2 linked regions of the Neodiprion lecontei genome follow. The protein of the gene in region 1 interacts with the protein of each later gene in a pairwise test. Links are inferred from orthologs where the notes say so. Each region holds a gene or a part of one and is shown in the gene's direction. Other genes may lie near its edges.

Region 1 (10,914 bases):
AACACATACTGATTTGAAAGTATGTAGCTACGAATACAGTTTACTGATGATTTTAGAGACCGTGATCTGTTCATAATCAGCTTCATCTCATCCATAGATTGATTACAAGTACAACAGTCGTGCAATGGCATTACCAAGCCCGCTTCTGAATGTGCACATTGCTTCACTGATCGATGGAGGTTTCAAGAGCCTGCACAGTAAGCCGCTCGCTCAGTGGCTTCCTGATTCTAATCGAATATTGTGGAAATTCACCGAACTCTCGCAGCATAGCGAAGGTGGTGGTGTCGGATCTCTTAAAGCAAGGATCGAGCTGGATCAAGGGCCAGGATCACAGGGAACAATATTCACGCAATTCAATTGTGAAGGCACTACCCTATCAGGGGTTGAGTTTGAACTCGTCGGTGTTGGGTATAGGCTTAGTTTAGTGAAGCGGAGATTTGTCTCCGGTAAGTCACCTGACATGTTTTATCAAGTGATAGAGAAAATGATGAAAAAAAACTTGCAAATAACATGGGCTAACGATTTCCAGGGCGGTATATGTGCGATGGTGACTCGGATCTAAGACCTCGTTATGCGGCGCCGCCGTCCACAATAAACTGATGCCTGGTACATCGAGAAATGCGGCATCATCGAGAAGAGGAATCAGTTCCTTCTTCCACCCCCCCGCCTGCCCCCTTCTCATCCTCACTGTCTTGGGCCGCTATAACCTGAATATGTATCCTGGATACCAAAGAAACAAATATAAGAGTTTTGCGCATACAGCTTCACTTGCAATCCAAGTTTACCTTATATTTGTCATAAAAGTTTATCTGCTAAAATATTACAGTTCCAGTATATTTTGTCAGTAGAACTCTCTTTGGTGTCCAGTAAGTACATTAAATTCAGTCGTGTCTATAAACTGTAATTAGGATGATTTGCAAACGGAATAGAATCGACTTGACATATTTTTTACTCTCTACACACAACACACACGCGCTCGAAGTAGATCACCTTATCATCCATCACTACGTTTATTATGGTATTTTTTTAAATTGTCATTAATATTATTAATTATTGTTATTATTACTATTAACATCATTACTGTTCTTGTTGTTGTTATTATCATCGTCGTCGTCATTATCATCATCATTATCTTCATCATCGTGGACAATGTTATAATTCGATTATCTCGACTACCTTTGCCATTGTTTATTCATTGCGCTCTATCACTCGTAACCAATCCTTCCAAGTTAATCATTCTCACTTTATGGAAATTTTATGTATGGATTGGTAGGATTCTAGAATTATCATCATACTGCAATAATTTAGCCAGAATGATGATATGCGGGGTTCGTGTAAATCATTTCTCGAGCAAATATTTATGTAGACTCCCTATAATACCCTTTATACACGAGTTTGTTAGACTCAAAGCAAGTATCAGTTCGTGCCTCGCATAGTTGCGTATTGATTTAACGTAATCTGGAAATAATTGCGATATCAACTACATGATTTCAATATTGTAAATAATTGACTACGTATAATACGTGTTTACATATGCTATACATACGTACATACGTATGTATGTACATCAATTCAATAATATTAAAACTTGTAATTAGTAGTTTCATTTCGCAGGGTCACCAATAATTTAGAATTTTGGGAAATTTCAGGAACTTATATTCCGCAGAGAAAAATCGAAGCAATCTTCAGACATTTCGTAAAAGTGAAGAACCTCCGACTTTGAAACGAAATCTGAATTGAACGCGTACTGATCTCGATCAAACGGTTCAACGTAAAATTTTTATTATTCCAACTGTGCGTAATAAATTCGGCCAAATTCGATTTTGGAAATATCATTTAATTTTCATGTCTTCTCGCACCCACCTTCGCATAAAATTTTTTAACGTTGTTGGTCGTAAAAGGTCCAATATTACGTAAGTATGGTGGCAAACTGTCTGGAAATACTGAAATTGTCAGCAGGAAAAATGAAGAAATTTATTTCGGCAAAATTTTCGTTACCGTATTAATTATCCTGAAACACAGCTCCAGTGTAATAGAATTATCTTTAAGAAAATGAAAAAGAAAAATATAAATCATTTCGTCTCAAACCCAACAATCTCGAAATGTCGCCATTTTTAATTGACCTAAATTTTTGTAAATTGATTTAACGAACGCAAAAAGAGAAACTTGTTTGGCCGAAAAAATTTAGTATCCATATTAAGATTTCGAATAAGGTATACACGCCAAAAGTAATGAAGGATAAAACAATATGCGTTTCAGTATACATTTATTTATTTCTGCGTCGAATGAAAATACATTGCAGTGTTTTTATTCAGAATTTTGTATAGAATGGAACTGTTAAGCCCTTTTCGCCTACAAGATACGTAGATATCGTTATTTCGAGATATATACGTCAACGTGGAAAACGACCAAGGCACATCCTTAAGAATATTTGCAGATGTCATCACGGCACACTTGTCGAATTTGAAGATTAATTTTTTACACATTGAATTTGCTATTACGAATCTACCGCATTAATAGTAGGATATGTAGATTTCTTACACTCAAATGTGTCAAGTTCATTGTAAAGAAACTTACAATTAGTTGGCTCTTTGTTCTGCACGGTTTTTGACTTTTTAAAAATTGAGGATTGGTCCTGAACCTAAATTACCCGGTTGCTGGACAACCTGTTAAGCTTCGTATTTCAAATTTATATTAGTTCTTTGAAAATCGGTTAAATATACATGTATAAAACCTCCGCTTACAGTTGTCCGCATATAATGCTCTCAGGTATGTACGTGCGTACATACATTCAACTATCTTAATTCTTGCCAAAGTTCTTACCCACGTGGGACTTTAGTGAAGCGAAATTCTTGATCGATCTTCTGTTAGTCGATCGAATTACATATTTTTTACTGATATAAATGCGGATCCGTGATAGGAGAAATAATAATTTTACGTTTACAGCACGGAAGAATCGAAGTTAAGTGTAGTGCCCTCAACTTATCGACGCAGTTTTTAGATCATAATCGGTGTCAGGTATCAGTGATGCCTCTTTAGGTGCTCTTGTGGTTCAGCGTCGACTGAAAATTGCCAAAGCAGCCAGCCATGGGTATTATTCTTTTCAAGCATGGAAAGGAGCACGACTGGGCGGCGGTAACTGCCATGCCCTACATTTACCTCCACGCCAAAGTTAATTGAGTCGGTAGCGGTAGGGGACTCCTGTACCGAAGTTCGCCAGGCTTCAAAAAAATTACTGTTCCCCAGAATTTTTTTCCAATATTACGAAAACTATGCATCCTAATCGTTTCCTTTGCGGCCTTGGATGTTCCGTGAGGAATAGAATCTCATAAAATCAATCGAAATCGACAAAATTTCATGGCGTGTGAATCGTGAAATGTTGGTGCGTCGCTTAGGTCGATTAAATTCTAAGCCTAGGCAACTTATATTTTAAAAAAAGGGCATGAGAACGCGGTAATGAGTTACTACGAAATTGTTACAATCGACGATTTTCCATGATTGGAGAATTCAGCTCGGAGTCATGGTAATCAGAGTTTTCAGACGTTTCACAGATGTTTTGGTGTCTATTTGTTTGGGATTGCATGGAGAAATGCACTCCTACTTTTTTTTGATAAAAGATGTCTAGGCTCAGATTTTAATCGACATTAGTGACGCACGCATATTTCACAATTCACACGATGTAAAATTTCGTCAATGTTGATTGATTTTGTGCTTTTATCAGAATCTATTCCTCAAGAATATTCCAAGACCGTGAAGACACCGGAACTGAGAGGCCTTTCGCGTCAAATTATAAAATGTTTTGAAAAAAATCAGCATTTAATTCATTACATGATTAATCTTGTAAATTCGATAAAATAATCACATAATAAATTACTATACAAATAATGAAATTAATAATCATATGAAGTGGCATAATCGGAACCGAAACAAATATCGTGCAAAAATCTTTGGCTTATCAGGTGGAGGGCTTGTTAAAATATCCATGCTCTCATCCGAGGGGGTAGAAAAAAAAAATTCTCAGTGGAACAAATCAAACGACACTTCGAAAAATCCGATAACTCATTGTGAGTGCGGTGAACAGTCCCTTCTGAACGTGGTTTGAACATTCTGAACATGGTTCCGAGTTAGATTCTCTGAACAAGGACCCCAAATGTCGCATGCGATATCTAGGGTCCAGTTTCAAAAATCCCCAGACCCTGAAATCTTGAACGTCTTGAAAAATGAGTCTGAAATAAGTTTGTCGCCTGAAATCAGCTGCCAGGCTGCTAGCTGTGGAGTGTATAGTAGGGGGGGATATCTTAAGGGTTATAAAAAGTGAGCTGATTATGGGTACAAATAAGAGTGGTGCTGTGAAAACGTAAGTTGCTGATCTGAACCATCTGAAGTTAGTTTCAAATATCATAAGTTTAAGTGTAACTAACTTCAACATTCAACTTTGTAATAATCGGCGCCACGTCGGTTATTCTATGTTCCCTTACTTGCCTACAGAATTTGACCACATTCTGACGCGCCATACATTAGAGAGTGCCCTCCTTCTATACACTCCAAACTGCTAGTCATAAAAACTCCCTAGAACACAGGCAGGGCTAGTCGTTAATTCGTTAGCGCAAACGCAAAAGATTACCGACAGCATTGAAAGGTGCTGTGCCAGTAATTGAATTGTGTGATGGAAGGAGACAGCCGATTGGAAGAGGAAGAAAAAGAATCCATGTGATGTGATAATCGGACGAGGCCTAACATATCTATTTTTTTTTCTGGTCTAGTGTGGTGAAATATGTAAGTCGTGTAGTGCACGTATTGCAAACGTTGGTAAATGTGTAGGCGTGCATGTATTTGCCTATACGTGCTTGACTGCGTACATGCATCGAAAGCAGGTATAAGCAGAAGTTGTCGCTAGTGCAGTGGTAATTTTTGCAGTACTTGAAAAAAAGAAAGACAATCAGCCAATAGACATTTTATCAGCATGAAGTGTCCAGAGATACGACGGATAACGTTCGCGCATCGTCTGTTGTGAATCATAATGAAGATATAAGTACTGGCTACTAACTATACAATGTACGCATGGTGTGTATGCATGTACGTACATACATACGTACTGGCATGCGCTGAAGTGGAGAAGTGACAAAGTAAGACTAGATAACACGCCGTACGCGTACGGCGTGCATGTAGTAGGTAGAGGCCCCTTGTAAACGTCGCCAGTCGCCACTGCCTATCGCCTGTCGTCGCTCGTCAGTCTTCAGTCTATCTACTAGATCAGAGCCTGAGTTTGATCACGTCCTCCGTAGATCCAAGTCCGCGCCCTCGCCGGCAATCGTCCGACGCCACGATGCCGTTGACACCCCCGACGTCTTTGCCCTCCTTGTCAGTGTCAATATTACTGTCAGTTTCGTTATCCTCGTCGTCGTCATCGTCATCGCCATCGCCATCATCTTCATCATCATCACCATCATCATCATCATCATCATCATCATCAGTATCATCATCATCATCGCCGTCGTCGTTGCCGTCGCCGTTGTCGCTGTCATTGTCTTCGCAGCTTCCGTTGCCGTTGCCACCGCCCGTACACAGCACCACCACCGCAGAGCAAACCGTCGACGCGCCTCGATCTCGCTACGTCGCGATGTAGCTTTCCCGTCGATTCGGTTTATTTTTTTATTATCGAGTGTCCGTAAACGTTGACACTATCCGTACCACAGAAAGAAGGGGTTAGTTTCCATGTCGGAAGACTCGGGCTTGTTTGCGTCCAACGATAATATTCGTTCAAGTGCCTTTTTTTAATCTTATCATTACTACTGTAAGCAAGACCTATACCAAAACCAATACCAAAATAAGAATATCCAATGAATAATACCGGAACGTTGTGACAGGCCGCCTTGCATCCTTTTCTTGTGGAACCTCACTGGTGCGGAAAATTTGTAATGAAATCGTTAATGAGTTAACGAGATAAACCAACCCACCAGGTATACCTCAGATATCGGGGACAGCCGGTCAGGTATAAAACGAAACTGGGGACGTTCTTTCACACAAAAAATTAGACTTAGATAAGACCAGTGACCTAGGAAGGAAGCGTCCCGTTACAGTCTGCAATCCGCTCGACATAATGTCACAATTGAATATAAGTTCGGGAAAGCGAGGCCGTGGAGTACCGGGCACCTCAGCATCGGCAGCCTCTGCATTGAGCAGTTCTGCGGATCTAGCCAGCCTCTTCGAATGCCCCGTGTGCTTTGACTATGTCTTGCCACCTATACTGCAATGCCAGAGCGGTCATCTAGTATGCAGCAACTGTCGCCCCAAGCTCAACTGTTGTCCCACTTGTCGGGGTCCCCTAGGTTGGTACATACATTATTCACCAACTTTGTCCCAGTTACTTATACTTTTATAGTATCTACCTATGTTTGACTGTGATGGGTACCGATGATGTTATCTTCTCGTCCAGTTTACCTTGAATTTAAAAAAAAAAAAAAACAAACAACCAAACAGGTAACATCAGGAACCTGGCAATGGAGAAAGTAGCGAGCAATGTAATGTTCCCCTGCAAGTATTCGACAAGCGGTTGTACTGTATCTCTTGTCCACACGGAGAAAGCTGATCATGAGGATGCTTGTGAGTTTCGACCCTACAGTTGCCCTTGCCCCGGTGCTTCTTGCAAGTGGCAGGGATCTCTCGAACAAGTCATGCCTCACCTTGTTATGAGCCATAAGAGTATTACCACCCTTCAAGGTAATCTGCAAATATTAGTCTAGCTTACAACTATTTCTAATAATCGATGCAACAGACTAATCACTAGGAAAGACAGGGATTTTTTCTTACTGTAATTGGTGATGTGCTGTAATTTGGAAACATATTCTGCAGCAATCCTATTCTCTTCTAGGTGAAGACATCGTATTTTTAGCAACGGATATCAATCTTTCTGGAGCAGTAGATTGGGTTATGATGCAGTCATGTTTTGGTCATCACTTTATGCTTGTCTTGGAGAAACAAGAAAAGTATGATGGACATCAGCAATTCTTTGCCATTGTTCAACTAATTGGTTCAAGGAAACAAGCTGAAAACTTCGCGTACAGGTAGATATTATTTTTTTATAATCTCGTGACTATTTATTATTTGCCACTGAGGTCACAACAGGCAGGTACTGGAATAAAAAGTAGGAGGCACTTGATTTTTATCGAACTGTCAATTACATACGTGAATGAATTAATTTCAACATATCAATTTTTCAAAATATTCATCATTGATTTATTGACGTGAGATATATTCGTCGGAAAAATCGAGGACTCGAAAAAATATTCAAGAAAAATGATTTGTCTGATTTGAATTTTTTAATTTAATTATTTTATTCCTATTCCGATATTCCTAAGAGTGAATTGGAATTTATTTTGCACTTTTTGTCATTTACCATACGTAAAATATCGTCTGGATTATTTATTGCTTATGGGGAAATATTTTAGCACAACGGAGTCCTATTCCATGACGTAGCCATTTTTCCTTAACTTTTAAAGATTAATCTAAATATCAGATAGAGCCTGCATTATTATAATTTATGTCAGGGATATCATAGAGTTAATATTATGTTACATCATTATAGTTATAGTACATGGCTCTCTATAAATAATATACTTATAACCAGCTTTATAGTCAGGATCAAGTCCGCGGACTTCCATCGTAGATGGATTGAATATACATATACAATCTATACTAAACGCTGTTTATATTTTCATGCATATTTATGAATATATGATTATATACACAGTATAGAATAATGAAGACAAGATAAGACCTGTGAGTTTAAAGTTTGGCTGTGAAAGTTATAATGGCATCTGAGTCTGGTTTTTTCTTTCTCGATATTTCAGATTGGAATTGAATGGTCATAGACGACGGCTTACGTGGGAAGCTATGCCAAGATCTATCCACGAAGGTGTATCTTCTGCTATTCTTAATTCCGACTGCTTAGTGTTTGATACGTCGATGGCACAATTATTTGCCGATAATGGAAACCTTGGGATCAACGTGACCATTTCTATGGCCTGAAATAAACAAATGATCAGATAGCAAGCAAATGAACAATGCTGGACAGTGAAAATCGTTTATGGCATCACATATACAGTGGAAATGTCTACATTCGATAAGGTCACCTTACATGACTTCCCGTTCCTACCGCCTTGATATACTTGGAACAAAGGTAGAGCATTTTTCCATCGTTAGCGCAATCACTGTATACAAGATAGCAGATGTAATTTGCCCAACATTAGGTTCGCAATTAATTTCTAACTATTCGCTAGTAGTTACAATGCCGATTACCTGGTAAAACTGGTTTACATTAGTAGATTTAATAGTGAGTACACAAACATACTTTTTCTATAAATAATTCTGCTAATTTAGGTATAGTTACTGTCCACACAGAGCCAGTAATTCAGTAGAGAAGAGTTGACAATCGCAACAGTTGCCAAATAATAACACATTCTGTAGATTCGCATGTTTCGGACCCAGCTACTGAGCGCCAGAGTCCCTACGAAACAGAGTCCGGCCAATCTTCTCTATCTTGGTCCTCATTTTCTGATGAATCGAAATTGCGCGAAGTTTTAAACACATATAAGTAGGTAGAAACGTTAATATTAATAAACAAACATATTACAAGCTAATATTGCAATATGTTTATTATACAAAATCAACGTTTCTACCTACTTATGTGTTTAAATCTTCCCACAATTTCGGTTTATCAAAAAATGGCGGCCAAGGCGGAGGCAATGACCTGACTCTGTTTTGTAGGGTCTCTACTCTGTACTATCGCAATAACCTACTACTTCACACGTGCTATTCACTCTACTTTGCCCGCTGCTATGTTCAGTACCCTAGTTGCACTACCCCAAGATGCAGTAATGACAAAGTACAAACTATACCTTCTTACTCTACTACTAAATCCACCTATGTAAACCAGGCAGTAGGATTGGGACGAAATTGACAATTCCAGAGTAATGTCTTTATTGCACACAGAAGTTTTATTTTATTTCGTCAGACCAAGTATTCAGTTATATAAACAGCTATTGAGGGTCAGTATTTTATTTTGGCCGATTTTAGTTATTGTAGTAGCACTGATTGCAGCGAATAATTTAAAAAATTTGTACGTGAATCTCTTCAACTCATCAGTTGGAAGTTGGAAAAAGTATTTTTAGACTTCTCAGAATCATTAATATTTTAAATTTAATGATATTGGAGACACTAAATGAAATGCTTTAAGAAAAATGGAAATCGTCAAGACTTTGCGCATATGCATCATATTCATATATTTATTAAGATCTAGGATAAGTTCAACACAATCTAAGAGTGACATGATTATGTATAACTTTTTTTCTCGTTCTCGTGCATACATGTTAGGATGGCCTTTCAAAATGGTTTCGAACCTTCGAAAAACGGCTCGAAATGAATAAATAAAAATCCGGGCTCTGTACCTCAATAGCAAATGGTGCCTATCAGATAAATGCCATTGATTTTTATGCACTTCTAAAGTACATTGTCGGAACAGGTTCATGAAAATTTTAGGTACTTCTGATGCGATATTTCAAGTTAAATGTTTTGTAGCTATATGAAATATCACGTCGAGGATTGATGAACTTTAATTCATATGGATTTCGGATTTTTTAAATGTTGACTATACATGGTGTACAGTCATAATTTGTGAATCCCAGAAAATTGATGTTATTCGAATGAACAACAAAACGATCTTATAGACATCATTTGTATTTGAAATATGAAGTTGCATATTAATACCGATTTTTGTTCGGCAATGGTTCACTTAAAATTCAGCGAAGCCCATCTTCTAAGGGCCACCCTATTACATATACCTACATGCAATATCACATGTATACATATAAAATCTAATAAAATGAGCGCATACAGATTAGTATACAATTATAGAACTCAAGGCTTTATGGACTTCGGTCAACACCCAGCAGCGTACCTTCAATGCACATGAAAGTGCAAATCCCACGCTTACTATTGAGCAAGCTCGGTGTTGTCAATTCCCAGTCAGGCTGCGCTCGCGCAAAACACAAGCTCATTCATTTGAAATACATGAGAAATCAATTCAAGCCTTACGTTATATCTGAGGTGAATTTTTCGATGATCCACGCAACTCTGAAAAACTTCGTTATCATGTTGTCAAAATAAATTTATTGAAATTTTACAGACCAAAGAACAAATACCCCATTTCTCGAACAGCAACTGATTCTTTTTTGAGGCCCAGAGATCACTAAAGAAATCAAGATCGCAAATTATGAAATATTGGGTATGCCTACATCTATCAGTGGGCAGTATATTTGTACACAGAAAACATGAGGTGAAGTCAGTCACTTGAGTTACTCAGGATTACTCTATACCCTTACATTATCCACTATGGGATAGCTCCACTATCACTATTAGCACACCAATTCAGTATATATCTTTTCTATAGCAACTCCACCTGCTTCTACCTGTCCATTAAATGGAGCTACTTTGCAGCATCCAGGTCCGAAAAATGAGCAAAAGTAAGTGCCGGTTCTTACGTGTATACGACATATGTTCGCCCAATGTTGTTTATTTTATTATTGGCTTACCAATCGTTTCATCAGGGATTTTTTCATCTTCATCCTGTAGATTGAACCCGAACTAAAACTTATTATTTTCTACATTTTCACTTTTACCGTTAATCATGGTACCCTGTCTGCGACTCTGAATATGAACACATTTTGATTAAATAATTCAAATTTCAGAACAAGTCCGTGTTCATATTTTGTATTTATTGTTAAATAGTTTCTGTATCCCAGGACAACTTACTACTGTTCATCTGCACATTGGAGTCGCTCATTCAGTTTTACATTTGTTAGTGTACACAATATTCGCACTTGAATTTTTCTACTAATATTTAATCAAACTGTCATA
Region 2 (12,404 bases), on another chromosome or scaffold:
CGACATTGGAACCAACTTTGCCTCGCTACCAACAGTTGTTTGATGATCGTAACGCGGTACTGTTACTCCGCCGGTAACATTGCTAGCAATGCAACGGTGCGTACAACTACTCACTGTAGCGGTACGCTATCTACCCCATAAATGCAAATCTGTCATATTTCTAGCCAACATTCTTTTACGCGTACGCAGTTTTAATCTTTGACCAGGGAAGGTTGATTAGGTATGATTTGAAAAATATTGAAACTTTGAACTTCGTCCAATTGAATGGAACTTAATTAAACTCCACTTCACCAGGTCCAAAGTAGATGTTCCTTTAGCTCTGTCTATTCCTTTCACGAATATAAAAACTTTGCCAAACTAAGTCATTCGACAGTAATTATTATTCACAAATTTTTGCTACCCTCTGTAACGTGCAACGCTAGAATTGATCGGACGCTAGACAAGGCAAACGCCGATATTCGCTCCGACAAATCACCGAGTAATGTATAGGTAGTAAAAATATCGACACACCGGTGGTAAACTCAGTTGTTTTGTTTCTATAGCAACTCTCATCGAAATTCACGGATAAATGGGAGAAAATCCGCCCTATGGAATAGTGCGAGAATTTTCTTGGGTTATCTCAACCTGGGGATACAGCACATTGCTTTATTTTTTCTACTTAAACTCATCGCCTGACTTGGTATTCTGCGATAAAGAAGAAAGAAAGAAGCAAAAAAGAAAGCTCACAAAGTAATCGGTGGACAATCAACCGCAAACAGTGTTCGCCGCGAAACGCGATGTGAAGTGCCAAATCTTTATTCCCCTTGTCAAAAAGTCTCGACAAGTTTACACGAACGAGTGTCCGTGCGTTTGATAAACTCTAAATTCTAAAGAAAACGTAAAATAAAGGAAGAAAAAAAGAAGTAAAAAAAATAAAAAAATCTAAAAATGGCAACAAGGACGAGTCAAGTGAGCCAATGCGAAATGTGCAACAAGGGGATGAAGGCGTACAACATCCCCGAGGCTGGACCACGGGGGAAGAAAGAGACGTACTCCTTCGTCAAAAGTCCCCGGGCAATTTTGCACATACAGAAGAAGTATCGCAATCCACCAATGTAAGAATGTCTCCTTCTGGAATCTATTCGCTTGCACGGACAACCGAGCCCGAGTGTCCTGCAACGAGTGGACTAAAGGTCAGAGGAAGAGTGCTGGAGATCAAGGACGAGGACGAGACGAACGAACCTAACGGTTGTGCCTCCTTGTAACAATTTCCCGTTTTTCGTCGTGCGCCATAATAATTAATACGTACGTCAGTCGTTAGTTTATCTGATGCCCAGCACTCTTGAATATCCGACTCACGCAGCTCCCATTGATCCGACTAGATGCATAGCCAAGTCACCGCCAACCTTACGCCCTCGAAATTGAGCACACTTTTCCTCGACTGAAATTTTTATCGAAACTACTGCCGGTGCAGTAGAGTTTACATATTTACGATTTAAGGGCCTCATGATTGTATCAGTAATACGTCAGCCGTCGCAGGCTACGGCGCAACCCATCAATCCGATCAGCGCCGTGCCTAGCCCTTGGAGTACTTGGGGTAGGCTGAGGGAAACCGCTTTTTTCAATACGAATATACGTATGTATGGGAAATTCCATGTGAATCCAATTAACGTCTGACCCTCAACATTTTTGATTTCGTTCAAAATTTTTTCAGCCATTGTCCCAACTCTAATTTCCCAAAAACTGTATTTTCTAGTCCAAATATTTCAAGACCGGACCTACGGTGCTTCGATTTTTTTTCTATTTCGTTCCGTGCCAAATGTGCAGGATGAGATACTCAAGTTGTACGTGGCGCATATGTGTACGCGCTAATATTGGTTGCCATACATTTAAAATTTTCATTTCTATACCACTTTCTGCTATGTCGGTTACATCGTAACCATGACAAATACGCAAGGAAAACCGCTCTCAAGATTATTATAGATACCAAGTTTTTTGATTTTTTGAACAACAAAAAAAAGCATTCACTGCACGGCTCTTCTGGCGGCTGCTTCTTTGCCCCAGCCCTAGGCACGGCACTGAATTCGATGATACATTTCATCAATATGAACATTAGGAATGATCCCTTTGCGCTACAAGTTCACGAAATGCTTCATGTACTTACAAATTACTTTGAAAAACTGAAAAGTATATTAGCTATGATCAGCCCGTTTGCTTGTTAATAGTTTAACAAATTATTGGCAGACGGTCTACAAATGAGGATTCGCAGAGTGGTGCTGAATTATTCAAAGTCGCCGCAAACATAATCCTGCCTTCGTATATCAGGCATTTTCATCACACATTAAAACATTCGACATCGTGATACTAAGAGAGTACATTCAACCCTGCAAAAACATAATTTCATCGGGTGCTGGAAAATTACTGGCATCGATAATGCGTGGTACATATACTATGAGTTTGCCCGGTAGCACCAGGCAACCATATTATACACGTACGCCACTAACCGTTCCATTTCTGCGGCTGACACGAATGACCCCTAATGCCCGCTGACCGGACCTGGTCCGTGTTGTTGGTATTACGAATTTGTAAAGCTCAAACTGTGGAAGATGTTTGCGATTCAGCAAGCTAGTGACGCAGACCTCCAAAGCATTCGATCATCTCTCTGTTGTATAATTGAATGAGATAAAATCCAAGACCACGTATAACCATTGCCGTACGGTATTACAAAGATTTATTTCCAATGTGCATGAATCTCTTTGATAACGACTAAGTTGTATAAGCTTATATTTGAGAACGCTTGTAGTGTCAAAAACGAAATGAATACATTTTCGAACATATTGAGAACAGATTTGAGGAAATGAGGTTTGTTAACTGCCTAGTAGAAATTTAACGCAGTGTTTAAAAACCCTGTTCAGACATGGCAACGCGTTGTTCAGACTGTTGTATACTTTCACAATTCCTCCTACGATTACCGTCAGAATTCGTTCCGTTTTAGGCAAGTTCAAACACCTCTCGTGCAGATGATTATCACCGACTTTACGACGGAAAGAAGCCAGTAAACCGTCGAAAACCGTGACCAATATAATCATGGTGTTTCTTACCATGAGACTTCACATTCGTCGATTAGGCGATTATATCATATCGGTCAAATATAATTATAAAAATATCTGTACCCTTTATACGCGTTATACCTGTGGAATGCCAATTAATCAAAAATGTTATAAGACCATACAATCATTTTGACAATGAAAGTAAAACGTTCATAATGTGTACCTCGAGTGAAACTTCTGCGAATGTTTGGCTAACGGCGATACGTGCGATTTCGTTCGCGTTTAAAGAATTCCTCGAATATAAAATAGGGGTTAAATCGAGAGGGCAAGGATCTTCTCCTCGGCTATACTATTTAAAGCCAGCAATCGGACGATCTGACTTCACCTTGACGCGTTGACCGCTTTGGTCGAAATCGAACTCTTCTCCCCTATTCTTTAACTTCCCCCTTGACCGCCTCTGCGTGACGATATCCGTATACGATCCTTACACGTGTGCGAAGAGACATGCGCAACTGGCCAATGGTCACCGCTATTGAGTTGCTAGCCGGCCGGTAACACGCCGGTAGAAAACGGTAAGGGTACAATGTCCAGTGTGTGAACTCACCCCCGAGAGTGTTTGGCCTGCAGCGGTGGTGCAGTCGTCGAGGAAGTTTTTCGCGACTAGATCCACCGATCTCCTAAAAAGTACGTATCTGTCTAACGGAGAGTCTGACGTATATTCTTTGTCTCGAGTAATTGGCAACGTAACTAGCAAAATTCTGCCAGGGTGACTAGGATCTCTTCGGTATGAGTCTGTATTGACTTTTCCGTCATAGCCAACAGCTTCAATCTCACACAAATCCATCCCGTTTCATCTCATCATGTTTTTTATCTCTGTCAATTACACGTCAGATATTTTTCACGTCGTTCAATGTTAATCGCGGCACGACTAAGTCCCAACGAATTGATAATAATACGCAACGATGCACTCACAAAACAGTCATTGGGCATATGCCGTAGTTGGATTCATTTTTCTCTGAACAAACCTCGCCGTCCTGCGTGGTCACCGACGGACATGCCTCATAAATATTAACGCCGACGCGTCACGTAGGCTAATTTGCAACACTAGCTATTCCGTTTAACACTTGGGATAGGCAAAAAATCGATCATCTGATTGGAGCTCTGAGTTCGATCGGGCTTGAATTAGAACAGTGTTTTCCCCGCAGAGAAAATAGAAAGCGGCCTTCGTTTAAAAAATTTGTTCACGAATAAAAAATTTCGCCATTTCACTCACAAAATCCTAACACCGCCGTTACAGAATTTTATATCGTAACTTTTTCCGCTTTGACATAAGTACGTCAGTGTCTGCCAAAAAAAATTATTTTTTTTCAAACGTGCACCAAAATTTCGGCAGAGTATCTCAAATAGAATATCTCAGCCGAATATGAGGTCTTAATATTGATATTGAGAGGTGCCTATTTTATTTTTTCCATTTTCCATTTAAATAACACGTAAAAGAAATGGGAAAACTCTTTCGGAATACTAGACAGAAACATTGGTAAAAATGATGCTAATAGGAACTCGCAATTTCGCTGAAAGTTCAGCAATACAGAGTTCCATTATTGATTTTGAATTAATTTCGAATCGACGTTAACAGGATAACCTCACCGCGAAACGACAATAAGAATCTTGATTCACTCACTGAAAGACAAAACAAACAAGATATAGAAACCGCCTTAATGGTAGCGTGAGAATTTTTTCACGCTGCCGGTATTCAATCGTCGGAGAAAAATATGCAACGCGAATAGCGTAGGATTAATTGTTTAAGGTCGCTATGCCAGCTGGCATTTCGGCGTTGGCACCCTCAAATCCGGAGACCTTCAACCTCGGCGACAAAGAACTACCAGCGTTTACCATCCTCCAGAAGGATGGCCTCGACTCTTCGCTACCTTTGCTACACGCCGAAGACGACATGGATTTCGAAATGTCGAATAAAATTATTTCTCAAAATTTGTACAACCAGAAACAGTTTAGCAGATCGAACGATCACCTGCTACTGGCGAGCCTCCAGAACCAGCAATCAAATCCGCTGAAAGCCAAGCACAGTAAAAGCCAGGGGAATCTCAATAGAGATAAGCCGGAAGTTAAAGCTCCAATGATTCTGTCGACCGAAGATTTCACCGAAGTCTTGAACGCCAAGCTACGAAAGGTACGAGAAGAAGAAGATCACGGTAAATCGAGAAAACTTTACACCGGTAACAACAATAATTTCGTATCGAGAAAGCCTTTCATCACAACGGTGAAAACCGGTGAATTCCTGATGCCGCCACCGGAAGTAGCTTCTCTCCTTGGCATAGCTGTGAACAGCAGCTCTAACAGCGGGGACGATCCAAGTCCAAGGTCAAAGTTCCGGCCGTTGAACTTGCTGACAAAAAAGCCGGAAATCAGACACCAAAGTCATCACTCGAGGTGCCAAGCCGCCCTGAAGGCTACCACGGATTTCTCAATGGCTTTGGTGAACTCGGCAGCGCCGGCGTCGGAGCCGAATAGGTGGAAGAGGAGCGCGCCACCGACGCAAACGTAAGTCAGGATGGAAAGAAATCTGAAAAACTGCTTCGCATTTCGATGATTCGGTAAGAGAGGGCTTGTGTCCTGTTTTCTAGCGAACAAGCACCAATGCCTAGAGCGTTACCGAAAAAATTGGAACCGATCCCGAGCACCATTCTGCCGAACCGGTAATAGATCATTGCACAGGAGCGAGTATACTTTTCAGTTTGCTAAACCGAGTGACGATTAGATCATAGTGATTGCAGATTGCGCCGAATCGCAGTTAGGCCAAGCGGCTGAATAATTTCACGGTTTCAATCACGAGTTCAAGTTATATGTGTATCGCATAAGTGCCTGTTCCAACTATCATGCTTACATACTGCATACATTCCGCTGCACCTACGCAAGCGAGCTTTGCCAGGTGAAATAGAACATGGGATAGAGTTGAAACGGCACTGTAGACACCGTATCCGCAGCGTCATTGGCAGTGCAAAAATCGATCCCTTTCCTTTTGTTTCTTAATTTTCAAATTGCAGTGATCAACCGGTTCCCTTCGGGAACATTATGTTCGATCGTCGCGTCGTTCGCGGGAGTACTTTCGCCTCAACTCCGATGCCTGTAAGTATCAACGTGTGGGAAATCCAACGGTTCCATGTTTCCCAACTCCGGGATGATTTCAGGTGGACAGTGAACAATCGCAGGCCGCGCTTCAAGCGGAAGCCAGGCGTCGACAACTCGCGAGAAGACGGGCACAGACTCAGGCGAGTCGAGCGTTGCACTTACGGATCGGTTCTCCACCGCCGGTTTCCGGTAGGAAACACGAACCGGTGCAGACGGAAACCTACCTCGAAGAGGTTCGCCTCATTCGTTTCGTTTATAGTATAAAGTCAGTTTCCATTCTTTCTCCTGGAATTTCAACTTGACCTTCTGCTTCGTTCGATAACACATCAACGAGTCAGTGATTCGAGGATATTCTGCAGCTAAATGTTTCACCGGTTAATTTCAGCTATTTGAAAAACCGGACGAATTCGACATCGGCACGCAGACCGATCACTTCCTCGATCGGCCACCAACGCCTCTCTATTGTCCGGCGAAAGTTGGAACGGATCAGTGTACTCAGATATACCCTGGTGACGTGAGTACATCTACATGAGAAGCTTATTCGGAAGCTATCCATCTTCCATCCGGCTTTCGTATACTGGGTTCGAATTGAAAATCCGACGTACATTGTCAAAGAGGCGAAAAATAATTCACCATTTGTCGAATGGTCAACTTGTAGCATTTTCGTAAAGACACAGTTAGAGTAGTCGATTAAATGATACGAATTTTTCAGTTATTCGACTACGATGTCGAGGTGCAGCCTATCATTGAGGTACTGGTTGGGAAGACCATCGAACAATCGCTCATCGAGGTTCTCGAAGAGGAAGAAGTTGCGACCTTGCGGGAGCAGCAACGGAAATTCCTGGAGTTGCGGGAGGCAGAAAAGGCAGAAGCACAGCGTCTCGAGGAACAAGAGAGACGATTACGCGAAGAGAAAGTAAGCGCGATTGAAGAAATTTATCATCGAAACGGCCCTGAGATCAGTCTGATTTACTTTTCCCATTAACATCAACTATTCACATCATTGTTGACCTTGCCGTGTACGGTGAGACCGAAACTCGACACACGTACACGTGTATCAAGGTATACGTATAATTCTCTTGTAATGGCTTACTTCACCGATCGATTCTTCTGCCAAAAATGTAGTGCCGACGTCTGAAGCAACACGAGGAAGCGGTAAATACCCAGTTGGAGACAGAAGAGCGGGTAGCTGCGGCAGTTCTTCTAACCGGATACATCGCAGAACTTTTACCGGCAGTTCTGGAGGGATTAAAGATGTCAGGGTTCCTGCTGGATGAAATCAAAGCAGGTAAAACTGGAGCAACGAACCGACAACAAGGCCGATAAACGTTATCGTGTTTGACCCTTTTCAGACGTCGAGGAGGGCTTCATGCCGTGGCTGATGAAGGAGGTGAAAAAAGAGATGGGCAACATGATCGAGAGCCGAGAGTTGCTGATGGGTAAAAGCAATTTTTTTCACATCTAATTGATCCCCCGATCACGAGCGGTGTTTTACGAAAGTGTGATAATTGTCGAACATCGACGAACCGCAGATATCATCAGAGAGATACTGGAGAATCGTGCTGAGACGTATCGTCGCCTGGGCGAAGATTACGACGCCTCAAGAGACCAGCTCGACCTTGAGGAACAGGACGAGGGTGAAGGCGAGGGCGACACTCGGGACGTGGACTTCGTCGATTACGAGCCCCCAGCCCTGGACGATGTCAATCCAGCTTAGCAGTCGTGCTACAACGTTCTATGTTCGTCCAAGTAAGTCTGGCCACCCACTTTCGAGCTGGCACAGAGCGCAAAACGGGACCTGACCAGCAATTCGGTGCACTGACCGAGACGCCAGGTCGATGCCTATATTCAATAGAATCAGTAATTAATCGAGCAAAGATCAGCCGCGACCACTTTGACTGGCTCATGCCTAGTCCCTCTCACTATGCAGAGTAAGCCATAAGCTTAGCCATATACGAGCCGAGCACGATGGTGTACACAGCTGCACGAGTCGAGGTTTTCTCCCTGGTCCTACGCAGGGGGCGTTCGATGTACCAACGAGCGGGGAACTGGCAAGTCCCCCCGGTGTCAAATATTGGTATTTGTCCACGCAAATGAAATACCTATCAGATAGTGATTATTGATTTTTGAATTCGGACGACAGATACCGATTTTTACTAAAGTTCCATTTTTCAAAGGTGTTTCTTTCTATTTCTCGTACAGATGGCCCTTTCTAACGCTGAAAAAATGGGATCAAGTAACATCGCGAGATTGAAGATCGCACGATACGTAGTGCCTGATAATACGTAATACCTAGTTATTATGAATAACTGTATTCAAATTTTAACCGCAAATGACTTGCTATTTACTCTTAGTTAAGCACTATACGATCGATGCATGTCGAAAAAAGAGAATAAATATTGCTCATACAATTCGACCTACTCGTTATTCTACTTCCCTTCTTGTGCCTAGAAATTGAACTGTGTTTCAATTATTTCATCATTTTTCATACTTTTATAATAACGGTGAGCTTTAAAACCCTGACTTATTTCGCTCGTTTGGGGACACTATGAGCAAAGAACGCGTTAGCGGTTGTGCCTTTTTAAAACTATACAGAATTATGTTAAATTATATGCGTATAATTTTATAGAATTTCACCAGGTCAAACTTGAGTTAGAATTTTATATAAATTTTACCAGGTATACCCTTTTTCACGAATATTCTTTATCAATGCAGTGTTACAACTCATTACGAAGATAATACCGAGAATTGTAAGTTCGGCCCGGCATAAACAAATACGTTCCGAGTGCACTAGTACCGTTTTTGCACCAAGCGATTTGGACTTGTTAGTAATTAGCTAAAATGACGAGCACATAGATGGCGCAGTCGAACTTTGATTGTCGTGAACCATCCTTTCCCCAAAGAAGAGCAGTTTTGAGTATACGAAACCATGCCTGGCTCAGATTTGTCAAATTTATTACTTATACCCTTTTTGCACCAACCTCCGCATTTGATAAAGTTGTGTTTAATTGGAAAACATTTTGCCGTAAATTCGAAATTAATTTCGTGATGTCTGTAAAATATCAATCCATGAACGAAATAAATCTGAATCAAACAAACAATATGACGTTGTTGTTAAATAACGAGCTTTCGATGATGGTAGTAATAATAACAATTAGTCAGGTAAGGAAACATCTGACAACTGTGGCAACTATATTACTGCTTACATAGGCATCCTTGTAAAAACTATATTTTTTTTAACTTTTAGGGGAGCGGCGAGCAAAATGGGCACCCCTGAAAAATTTTCATATCTTTTTATAAACAAGTTTTTAACGCTTTTGAAGCAAATTTAGAAAAGTACGCATAATTTTTAAACGGCCCATTTTACCCGCTTTTTCTCTACAAGTCTCTTATACATAGCTAATCTTATTTTCAAGGTATTATAAAGAAGATAGAAAAATAAATTTGGAACATTTTTCAATTTTGAAAACTGTATGTAATATTTTAGGGTGTCCATTTTGCCCGTCCATCCCTATAAAACTTGTAGTACTGACGGTTACATACCAACTGCGACTTCTGTATTTACGCTGTCGATTCTATACTTATTGTTAGTCGTTCAAAAATTCCGAGTCCAGGCTTGAACGCAGGTTCGCGTAAAATTATACAGGTTTGGAGCTAATTTGCGTTAAGAATTTCAAGTGCGTGAAGTGAAAAACACAATGAGGCTGCCTGGTGTTGATTTCTAAGTCGACAAGGCCGCAGGGGTGTTCTTAATGTGAAAAATAATGCCATGGTACTTCCACCAATATTGGTACAGGTCAACGCAATTAATCAGTAAACGTCAGGCCAGGAATCGTCCAGTTTGCTGAGCCAGAACCAGCCCCCTGACACTCACCACTGCTCGTATACTAAAATATTGTACGCGTCTTGTCCCCGTTTTTTAGTTCCTCTACGTGGCGCTAGTAGACTTCTGACAAGCTCGCTGCCCTCGCTGACCGCGCGCAAGCTCGTCAGGTAACTGCTAGCGCCACTAGTGGTGGAAATTGGCGGCAGAATCGAGGGACATTTAGCGAACCACTTTTAGCAGCATGTGTCAGGGGGCTGGCCAGAACTTAAAATGAAAAACTGGCGATGAACATTGGTGGCTGACTACGGTCAGATCAATGTCTGACAAACACGGGTAAGTATAAACCCGGACTTCCCCAATCGCAGAGACAAATCGGTAGCCAGCTGAACGAGCAAATCTGTTACCGGCAAAGCAGGAAACGTAAAACCCGGAAATTAATTTATCATCCATATAAATATAACATACATACAGTGTACAGGCGAAGGTAAAATTTACCACGTGTTCGATCACGAATCCAGCAAAACTTATCCATCCCCATCATCAAAAGTAATGCGAAAATTCAAACAGGTAAAAACGCGGTCACGTCGATGGCGACGGAAACGACGTCATAACGGAAGTGAAGACTTTGACAGCATTATCGAATCCGGAGCGTAAAATGAATGTACAAACCTTAAATCCTGGGCAACTTAATGACAGGAAGGGATATAGTCAACTCTATTCAACAGGTGTATTTATTTTTAAAAAAACGTCGATTGACTGCGGGTGCTGTGCCTTAATTGGCACTGGTCACAGGAGTATTTAGTTCAACGAATAATTAAACTAGCTGAACGGTTGAAATGCCATGGGTCCTAATGACGCGCTAATGAGTCATAAAATAAATACTGCAAGCTTAGTTCGTTATTTTAGTAATTGGTTATAGGAACTACATCTTGCGAACTAATAAACATAGATAAGGCGTGACCGCGCACCCTTGTTCCGACGATAATCTTTTGGCTTGTACTCCATAATAATCGCTTGATCTAGGGACACTTTTGTCATTACGCCACGCACCAATGCCCTGCGCCTACTCAAGTGCTCGATACTCGCTGGTATACCTGCATCAACGAGCAAGAACCTTCGTCGTACACTTCTTTAACCTTACGTACGCAGTAGTAATTTTGAGCGAGGACTTTCTGCTTTTGTCGAGTGATAAAATGTCGTATAATCTTCGCAAATTTTGAAGGAACTTTGAAACAAATATGATAAAGTAGTTCCATCAATGCGCGCAAGTGATTTATCCTGAAATCAACTTTTTATATCACACAAACTTTGGTCTCTCAAAAAATACAGAAATTAGTCCACCGGTATAACTCTGAAGTAAAATGTTTTGTTTATCCAGTTTCAACAGAATTCACATATTTCGTTGAATTTTAAGAAAACTCTAACGATATATGTGGAAAAAGATCACGAATAAACAAATTACGCATATGACAGTTGTCACTTACGTTTTATTCCATCATACCACGATGAATGACGAGGGTTCCGGGACTAATTGGATGAATAACAAGATGAATGAAAGTGATAAAATACCGTTACTACAGACAACATACAAACGCTATTGGGCTAATATGAGCATCATTAACGGTACAGCATTCATTGTTGGTGCCTTATCTCCGAAATGTACTCCACGAGTTCTGGGTAGGTCAGGCCGTGGATTTAGCCGGAGATCGATCACGCAAAACCTACCATGCATAGTAGGTACTGGTGCAGTAAGTAGGCGAGTACGTATTAGGATGTATATGAAGTCGGGCCATCGACTTAGACGGTCAAATTAGTTATGTCTAGGAAACCTTTACAGGGGTCTATGAGGAGTGCTTGTAACGAGTCGCGACATCACCGGTCACCGTGGATATCGCGTCCCTTTGATCTACGCAAGCCGTTTTCAGGTAGGTATACGAGGTATTTTCCTGGTTGTAGTCAGGTCCGAATTAACCGTAAGACTAAAAAGGCCCTGGGCCCTCGAAATTTTCAAAATCAAATTTTTCAAAATAGTACCTAGATTTAAAAAAATTCAGGAATTTGAACTCTTAATCTTTATCAATAAAGAATCGCGTGTATACCTATCACACTGAGAGAAAAATTTGCGCATATAGTTAAAAATCTGTATAGTTAAAATATTATAGTCGGGAAGATAATTTTTATAGTATAATTTACTCAAATTATCGTTTGGCGCACTATAAGCACAATGTTAATTTTACCACACACTTCTAAGTTGATCCAAGAACGTCAAAGGGACTATAATAATCGTGCAATTAACTATATTTTTTGTTATAATGTTCACCATACACAGATGTTCATCACGATTATATTCGTATAGTGCGGTGAACTCTGTTCTGTAGTCTTCGATAGTATGGAGTATGCTT

What was found. The genes of interacting proteins can lie anywhere in the genome.
Region 2: the proteins of E3 ubiquitin-protein ligase SIAH1 (region 1) and radial spoke head protein 3 homolog A interact in a two-hybrid assay, tested with the Drosophila melanogaster proteins (2 studies listed by BioGRID). The link is inferred for Neodiprion lecontei from reciprocal best matches to the Drosophila melanogaster genes sina and Rsph3.

The regions. Positions count from the first base shown.
Region 1 is NC_060264.1:36,317,609-36,328,522, forward strand, and holds E3 ubiquitin-protein ligase SIAH1, read left to right. Parts: upstream 1-4,598; 5' UTR 4,599-5,126; exon of another isoform or gene 5,127-5,867; 5' UTR 5,868-6,100; coding exon 6,101-6,329; intron 6,330-6,480; coding exon 6,481-6,720; intron 6,721-6,871; coding exon 6,872-7,064; intron 7,065-7,850; coding exon 7,851-8,028; 3' UTR 8,029-8,068; downstream 8,069-10,914. Other genes in the region: F-BAR domain only protein 2, read left to right, coding at 1-19, 98-446, 530-600. UniProt on the Drosophila melanogaster protein: E3 ubiquitin-protein ligase that is required for specification of R7 photoreceptor cell fate in the eye by mediating the ubiquitination and subsequent proteasomal degradation of Tramtrack (ttk).
Region 2 is NC_060260.1:28,041,067-28,053,470, reverse strand, and holds radial spoke head protein 3 homolog A, read left to right. Parts: upstream 1-3,574; 5' UTR 3,575-3,713; intron 3,714-4,821; exon of another isoform or gene 4,822-4,836; 5' UTR 4,837-4,842; coding exon 4,843-5,588; intron 5,589-5,671; coding exon 5,672-5,743; intron 5,744-6,091; coding exon 6,092-6,173; intron 6,174-6,235; coding exon 6,236-6,409; intron 6,410-6,561; coding exon 6,562-6,690; intron 6,691-6,888; coding exon 6,889-7,092; intron 7,093-7,301; coding exon 7,302-7,464; intron 7,465-7,528; coding exon 7,529-7,615; intron 7,616-7,708; coding exon 7,709-7,893; 3' UTR 7,894-7,925; intron 7,926-8,378; 3' UTR 8,379-8,587; downstream 8,588-12,404.